Linked DNA regions of Xenopus tropicalis. Each later gene encodes a partner of the first gene's protein in a complex. Links are inferred from orthologs where the notes say so. Each region holds a gene or a part of one and is shown on either strand. Other genes may lie near its edges.

The links.
Region 2: the proteins of fst (region 1) and gdf11.1 are in contact, whole or in part, in a crystal structure (PDB 5JHW), measured with the Homo sapiens proteins. The link is inferred for Xenopus tropicalis from reciprocal best matches to the Homo sapiens genes FST and GDF11. Residues at the interface, in NP_037541.1 of Homo sapiens: Leu34, Arg35, Gln43, Val44, Leu45, Tyr46, Lys47, Thr48, Arg60, Ser62, Asp72, Asn73, Leu75, Phe76, Met79, Ile80, Leu134, Asp135, Arg149, Gln153, Pro154, Glu155, Val180, Val181, Asp182, Gln183, Tyr188, Val190, Thr191, Asn193; in NP_005802.1 of Homo sapiens: Asn299, Leu300, Gly301, Leu302, Glu310, Arg312, Asp328, Trp329, Ile331, Ala332, Lys334, Arg335, Tyr336, Lys337, Tyr347, Met348, Phe349, Met350, Pro354, His357, Gln361, Ile380, Asn381, Leu383, Phe385, Asp387, Lys388, Gln389, Gln390, Ile391.

What each region holds. Positions count from the first base shown.
Region 1 is NC_030677.2:192,427,846-192,432,370, reverse strand, and holds the start of fst (follistatin), read left to right. Parts: upstream 1-1,451; 5' UTR 1,452-1,541; coding exon 1,542-1,626; intron 1,627-2,624; coding exon 2,625-2,816; intron 2,817-3,611; coding exon 3,612-3,830; intron 3,831-4,180; coding exon 4,181-4,405; intron 4,406-4,525. UniProt on the Homo sapiens protein: Multifunctional regulatory protein whose primary function is to antagonize members of the transforming growth factor beta (TGF-beta) superfamily including activin, myostatin, GDF11 or bone morphogenetic proteins (BMPs).
Region 2 is NC_030678.2:138,141,126-138,144,943, forward strand, and holds part of gdf11.1 (growth/differentiation factor 11), read left to right. Parts: intron 1-133; coding exon 134-507; intron 508-1,933; coding exon 1,934-2,314; 3' UTR 2,315-3,818. UniProt on the Homo sapiens protein: Secreted signal that acts globally to regulate anterior/posterior axial patterning during development. May play critical roles in patterning both mesodermal and neural tissues. It is required for proper vertebral patterning and orofacial development.

The DNA.
Region 1 (4,525 bases):
CTGAGGGGCCCAAACAACTGTCTGCTAATATTAGCACGCCTGTATTTCTGGATCTATTATAGTCCTCCCAGACAGATCCCATTGTAATGGGATCTTTTATTAAAAGATTAGTACTATCTCCTGCAGTTGCTGGAAAAAAATCTGTTATCGCCGAGTTATTTGCAGTCAAAGTCTGTGGCAATACAAATCCAAGCGACCTGCCAGTATCCAGGAATGCAGTCTGCATAGTTCTCTGTCTGTTGTCCTCTGGGCTCTGGAGGCAAAAAGAATAGAAAATGTAGAGGGACAGAGAGAGGGAGAGAGAGAAAAGAGGCAGCTTTTGAATCAACAATACCATTTTCCGTGAAGTAATGGTTCTGTATAAAAGGAAATATCGCCTACTCAGTTTCATTCAGCTGTGCCAAAAATGTTAGAAATGAGTGGCCGCCAACTTGCAGCGGAGGATGCCAGACTGCGCTTAATAAACTGGCCCTATAGAAGTTCATTATCGATGGGGCAATCTCTGGGGCTATGAAAGGAGACCGCCTACGTCGTCCCATTCCTGTCTGATACTCCAGACACTGCCACTTGAAAAGACTGTCACTTGGGGGGGGGCAAATTTAGGTATTAAACTTGTATTTGTCCCTGAAGACTCCCAGAGAGCTGGATGTGGGAGCAGACACTTAACTACTGTTTCAGGTTCTGGGAGTTATATTTTAAAAGGCACTTTAAGAGTTTGAGTGGGAGGTGGGTGGGGGGCAAGTCCTAACCCCCCCTCTTTAGACAGTGCGCCCCGATGTTGCCCGGTCTTTGCTCAGAAGGTGCCCAGGGGGAGCCAGAGTGGGTAGGTCCTGCCCAACAAGGCTGAGTCTGGGAGAGGTCACGTCATTGTCCTGTGCGCACCCAGCAGCACCTATAGCAGCGCTTCCCACTCACATGCCCCACTCCTATAGCAGCGCTTCCCACTCACATGCCCCACTCCTATAGCAGCGCTTCCCACTCACATGCCCCACTCCTATAGCAGCGCTTCCCACTCACATGCCCCACTCCTATAGCAGCGCTTCCCACTCACATGCCCCACTCCTATAGCAGCGCTTCCCACTCACATGCCCCACTCCTATAGCAGCGCTTCCCACTCACATGCCCCACTCCCTGCTGCTGCCTCTGCTGCTGCACAAGTAGCCACACTGCTGCTCCATTTCCCCACCAGCTGCTGGACAAGTTTCACTCTCTCTCTGCTTGGGACTCAGCAAACACTCCTTGCTACATTCTCTCTAGGATCTACCTACCCACTGTTCATTGGAAAAGGTTTCCAGAAGGTGGAAAATGTCACCTGATTCACTCTGAATTTTTCTTTTTACCCCACCCCCAAACACACACACACATTAGGAGACCGCCCACCGCAGACAGCTAAGACCCCCTTATAGATTTAAAGAGAGACTGCATTAGAGGCTGCTGTTCATTCAATAGAGCGATCATAAGCAGAGTCCGGAGTTGTGCCTGGTCCATTATCCCATCTCTCCACTTGAGACTCTGCTGCTTCTCCACTCTCTGCACTGAGGATGTTAAATGAAAGGATCCAGCCGGGCATGATTTTCCTCCTGACTGTCTCTCTGTGCCATTTCATGGAACATCGCGCAGTCCAAGGTAAGAACCTGAAGGACTTGATCACTCTTTTTGGATTTTCTTTCATTTTTTTTGGTATTAGGGCAGACAGTAGGAGAGGCAAGTTAGGCTGGTGACTTAGATCAGACTTCACTTTTACATATCTGCAATATCAAGATGGTAGTTCTGGATTTTAAGGGCTACAGTCAACTTGGCTTCCAGATTTATTAATGTGTATATAAATGTATCGGCAGAGAGTGCTACTTTACTATCAGTGGTTACAGTTATGTAACGAATCTAGTGACTTATTAGGGACTTGCGAGGATGTCGGTATTTGTTTCGTACTACTCTAGTTGTACTCCAGCTGGTGGGACAGAAGTTGTGGTGGCAAGTCATTGGCTGCCAGCCCCCTACTATACGTAGCAGAGGCGCAGTCGGACCCAGCGGTGCGCAGAATTTCTTCCAACTGACGCAATCTGCCTTGTGCTAATTGCTGCCTACTTGCAGTGTTAGTTGGCGCAATTCCAAATGGAACTAGTTGTAGTGAGTTGTTTAGAACTATTGCTGTTCAGCTTATCCTTTCTCTTAACTTTAAAAAAGGGGTAACATAGCGTGGGATTGGGGAGAAAACACGTTTCGAAATGGATTAGTGTTGCATGTAGATGTTCTGAATGTGCCTGGATTGCAACATGAGGTTGGATCGCAGGCTTGACAACTGACGCACTTGATACTGTAATATTTCAATAAAGCAGGGGTTTTATGGGCTCGTTATCTCAACATCTGGATGGGAGGCTGTTCAACAGCGCGGCCAATTAACCCTTTGTGTAGCCTGGGTGGATATCTATAGAGTGGAAGCCCTGAAGGGGTTAACCGTGCAAGTGTGAGCGGTTTGGCTGGGGAGAGACTGCTGTTACTAGTGCAGGTTATGAAAGAGGCCGAATAAAAGTAAACAGTCTAGTGGAAGTGAGCGCAGAGCACACGTGTTGTGTCTGGGTCACTGCTAAGTGACACTGATATGGCTGGGCCGCTGTCTCTTACAGCTGGGAATTGCTGGCTGCAGCAGTCGAAGAACGGCCGATGTCAGGTTCTCTACAGGACTGAGCTGAGCAAGGAGGAATGCTGCAAGACTGGCAGGCTGGGTACCTCATGGACTGAAGAGGATGTACCCAACAGCACCCTCTTCAAATGGATGATATTTCATGGAGGGGCCCCTCACTGCGTCCCCTGCAAAGGTACTTTACTTGACAATTTTTACTACCATCTCCTCGTTTTGAAAATGAAAGGGTTAAATTCCTACATCTCTGTAAGCAAAGAAGTCGAGAGAAGTTTTTTTTTTTTTTAGTACTTTAACATACAGTCTCTACTGACACGTTGTAGGAATACATGATTTAACCATCCCTGTGTATGCTTGATGCGACCTGTGCTTCCATGAAACCATGAAGCTGCCATATGTATTTATATACCCGCATACTTGACATATTTTGAACTGCTTTTGGCATTATTTTTGTATAGGGGGACGCAGCCACACAGTCCATATGTGTGTATGTGTGTATGTGTGTGTGCAAGAATAATCTCACCCAGCTCAGACTTTAGGATACTGTGCTAGCAGATTCTGGCCACCTACACTTGCTTATTATGTGTTATTTTTCACGGAGGGATTTATTAAAGTGAAGGGGACATCTGCACTCAATTTTGAGTTCGCTTTCTGGAGGAACTTTTGTTCTCTCTCCATAGATACTGCATGCTGTTTTAGCTATTAGGCACAGAGGGGAAATACTTTTCTTGTACTAGTAAGTTCCCAGTGTCAGGAGCTTGTATGAATCTGGCATATCTATCTATCATCTATCTATTTATCATCTATATTAGATACCATAACACCCCAGATGATCTTTATGTAATGGCACAGGCACATTAGTCCCTGAAAGTCTAGACATGCTGCTGAGATATGGGGCTATTTATCACATTCCTAGTAATACTATTTCTTGAGTACTTTGCCCACTGGCTAATTAAACCTGTTGCACTTACAGAAACATGTGAGAACGTAGACTGTGGCCCTGGGAAGAAATGTAAAATGAACAAGAAGAACAAGCCGAGGTGTGTCTGCGCTCCGGATTGTTCCAACATTACTTGGAAAGGTTCCGTGTGCGGAATAGATGGCAAAACCTATAAGGATGAGTGCGCTTTGCTCAAAGCCAAATGTAAAGGGGTCCCGGAGCTGGATGTGCAGTACCAAGGAAAATGCAAAAGTAGGTTAAACAAGTGGGGGGAGTTAGGGATCTGTGGGCTGGGAGGGACAGCCACATTAGATTGCTGTGATGTTACCTGAACCTCATGGGTGGGCAGCATGGAAAAGAAAGCTCTCATTGGGTGGCTTTTAGTAGCCTGAGAAGCTTTTTTGGTGCGCATTGGCTTGGGAGTTGCAAAACTTTATGTGATATAATACGGGTCCCATAAAGTACATAGTATATGGAGTAAATAAGAGCAATTTATTATGACCTTACGCTTAGCTGTGCCCCAGTAGTGCTGTAAGTCCATCTGTCATTCATTGCGCCTTTATACTGATCGATGTGCGCCCTTGCGCTTCTTTCTCTTTCAGAAACTTGCAGGGACGTGCTGTGCCCAGGGAGCTCCACTTGTGTGGTGGATCAGACCAATAACGCCTACTGTGTGACATGTAATCGGATTTGCCCGGAGCCTGTCTCCCCTGACCAATATCTGTGTGGGAATGATGGAATAACCTATGCCAGTGCCTGCCACCTGAGGAAGGCTACCTGCCTGCTGGGCAGATCCATTGGATTAGCCTACGAGGGGAAATGCATAAGTAAGTGTGGTGTCTGATTTACCCAGCGACAAATCCATTCTGAGTAGCATTCTTTCCCAAGTGCCTTGAGGAGAAGACACTCAGTATGGGGCAAGAGAAGCAACATGTGATTAGGGTTGG
Region 2 (3,818 bases), on another chromosome or scaffold:
ACAGACCTCATATTTGGAGAAACACACAGGGAACAATTTTTAGTTGTGGATGTTATTAACTCGGCATGGGTATGAGCAGATGCCATGCAAATCTTTTCTGTAACTTTGATAGCTCTTTCTTTTTCATCTTCAGCTGACCACGCAGTAAGAATAGATGGGAACCCACACTGCTGCTACTTTAACTTCAGCCCAAAGATAATGTTCACCAAGGTGGTAAAAGCACAACTCTGGGTATATTTGCGGCCTGTTCAGCATACCTCCACAGTGTACCTTCAGATCCTACGTCTTAAGCCTGTGACTGAAGAAGGGAGCAAACACATCCGTATCCGCTCCCTCAAGATTGACCTGCACTCCCGCTCAGGCCACTGGCAGAGTATTGACTTCAAACATGTACTGCAGAACTGGTTCAAGCAGCCACATAACAACTGGGGCATTGAGATTAATGCCTTCGACCCTAATGGAAATGACCTGGCTGTTACCTCTCTAGGACCAGGGGCGGAGGGACTGGTGGGTGCTTAGATCTTTTAAGATGCAAGTCTTTATTTATAGTAAGATGTTGAAAACAAAATCTTTAAAACAGATGCATTGCTTGTTATGACTGGATGTGTGTATTGGCACAAAAAACCCAATGAAAATATAACATTCCCCAAACTGTGCACTTGCCCTGATTCATTAGCATGTTAAGTGGATAGTTAGCTGCCCTTGATGGGAGCCACAAACTGCTACCTGTGACAACTGGTTTAATAAAAATGTACATTTTGTAATAATATTTTTATTTGTATACAATGCCACTTCAAATACAAATTAGTATGCATTTTGAGCTTCTTGCATAGTTACATAGACAATTAAAGTAGCACTTTAATTGCAAAAGGTTTCACCAATAGTATTTTGATTGCTGATATGAATACAAATATATATTACAATATTTATCAAATTTACCAAGGATATTCCATTTCCAGGGGCTTCTCTGAAGCTGGAGACTCATCTAAAGGAGATGCACTCTCTGCCTTTCCCTAAAACGTTATGATTGTGAAAATGAGATTTGATGTGAATGGTCATTCTCCAGATAGGTCCTTAGAATAGTATTTACAATTAGTTTTTTCTTTAACCTTTACTTTTTAAGCTTAGTGGAGTGCTGAACAAATTCAGATTGCAGAAGAGCAAAACAAAACTTACAGGCACATCTTGGGAGCCCTTGTTACTTGCATTTAGCGTAAATTGCCCCTAAGAGGTGCTCACTCTAAAACTTTTACAATGGAAGAAATTTCTCTACAGCTGCAGTGGACAATCTATTATCATCTATTATGTTTGGGTCAAGGCAGATAATTTGTGTGCTCTTACCTGGTGTGCAAAAGGCATGCACCAGGATACTCAGTATGTAGAAATGATTACATACACGCTATAATAAAATATTTGCCATGTAGACACAATCAGGGTCCAAAGACTTAACTGGCCATATTATGCATACATGTAACTTATGTGACTTAACTGTGACTTAATATGTAGATGGCAGTTACATCCAGGTCAGCTAAATATGTATATCATATAGAATAGATTGTGTGTCACAAATGTTAGACTTTGCTGCTATCATAGTTGAAGGGTTAGTTCAGGGACAGGGTCATTTTCTTGAGAGATTTGTCTGTCAAGGTTAACTTTTCAATGTATGACTTGGCCCTTGCCAAAAAAACATCCTTTTTGGCTCTTTTCATACTTTTTAATTTATCGAGTCATTTTAGCTATGTAGAGTTGCCTATCTAGAAAGACACTGACAGACTAGACAGCATGATGAGCCCACCAGGAAGTGTATTCTATACCATTACTGTTTTTGCGTTGAAGAACCCTTTATGTTCCTAATTATATTAGTATATTCATCTACAAATAAAAAGTTGCATGTCCTTGTTCTTCTTTAATTTTGTGCCTCTTTTCTATCCAGCACCCCTTTATGGAGCTACGTGTTATGGAAAACAATAAAAGATCACGGAGGAACTTGGGGCTTGATTGTGACGAACATTCCACGGAATCCCGCTGCTGTCGCTACCCACTTACTGTAGACTTCGAAGCCTTTGGCTGGGACTGGATTATTGCCCCCAAACGCTACAAAGCCAACTACTGTTCTGGCCAGTGTGAATACATGTTCATGCAGAAGTATCCGCACACTCACCTTGTGCAACAAGCCAACCCAAGGGGTTCTGCTGGGCCATGCTGTACCCCTACCAAAATGTCCCCCATTAACATGCTGTACTTTAATGACAAGCAACAGATAATTTATGGCAAAATTCCAGGTATGGTTGTTGACCGATGTGGCTGCTCTTAAGATGCTGAACGCTGCCTACTCACCCTCAAATCCTCTTTCTCTCAAGGGTACAAGCAGACCAAAATTTTGGGACTGGGGATAGTGGAGTATAAGCCTTCAATGTCCCTTTCCCCATACAGGTTAAGATAGAGACTTATCACTCTTTGCATTTCATTTCTGCTTATAGTTCAGCTCTTGCCCCTTGCAATAACCTGTGTCATGTATTAATTATAGAACCCAGAGAGTTGGGTCCCTAAACAAACAATACCAAAAGCAAGAAATTAAACAGCATCTCACACCAGGGTGTGCCATATTGCACTAAGAATCACAGGCCAGCCTTTTTGCAAAATCCAACTTATTGTGCAAATCATTCTTCCTATGTAAAAAGAACTGAAATAAGCATGGAAGATTTTTGTTCATTTTAATCATTTTAAAGGCATTTCTAGTCCAAAAGCAGCATTAAACAGCTGTCAGATGCAAAAGAGCCAAAAGTGTCAGATGTTTTGTACTCGACAGCTGTTTCCTTTACAGTGCCCAAACCATTGTACATAAACCATGTAGTGATGTAGTGCTTTCAATATGTCACACTCTGGTCCAGTTGGTTGCATTCATTCACTTGCACTTGTGCACATCACCACTCACACTATTTTTCATGGCCTTTTGCTTAATAATCACTGGAGTTTCCTCCCCTTAATCAATGTGCCTCGCCCCTCAGACGGGACAGCAAAAGAAGATCAGGAATATTTTGGGAAGAAATTGGATGTATCTTGTGCTTTGTGCAATAAACAAAATGCAACACAAATAATGAACACAATAAAAAGCCCTATTAAGTCTCACTATGGGTTTTATAACATAATGCCTTTCTGCTCTTACAGTGTATGGGCTGCTGACATATCTGTGGCAGGGACATACTTATAGCTCACTTAGAGATAAAATAACAAATACTACATGGGGGTTCCCTGGGCTGGTTCTAGACTGGGACAAATATGGCAGTTTCTCTTGCCAGCTATTCCTTGGTAAAGGTAGAAATGACTTATAATTACTTAGTATAGTAATCGTTAGATAATGTTTTATCTGTATCAGATGTGTCTTTTAACCATCTGTTGTTGAACTGCAGCCTTCAGCCTCTGAATGCTGTTGGGGCCACAGTTTCTAAGTGTGTTTTAAAGTTTTCTTAAAGGGGAACTGTCACTATCATAAAAAGTCCATTAAAATGTAGCAGGTGGTTAATAAATCTGTTTCCCAAATAGTCTTTATTATTTTTCTTACAATTGTTTATATATTTAACAATTTACCTGTGAGTTCCTCGATCTCTTTTCAGCTGTAACCAACACACTCATGCTGTGTATTGCTGACAGGTTTCACCTGCTGTAACACATTCTAACATGCTGCATTGCTACATTGTTTGCAGCAGGAAAAGACTTTGAGGAAGCACACTAATAAAACATTTATATCTCAAAATCTAAGAAAACAATAATAAACCCTATTTGTATAAAGGGATTACTAATATTCTACTAGAGTCTGG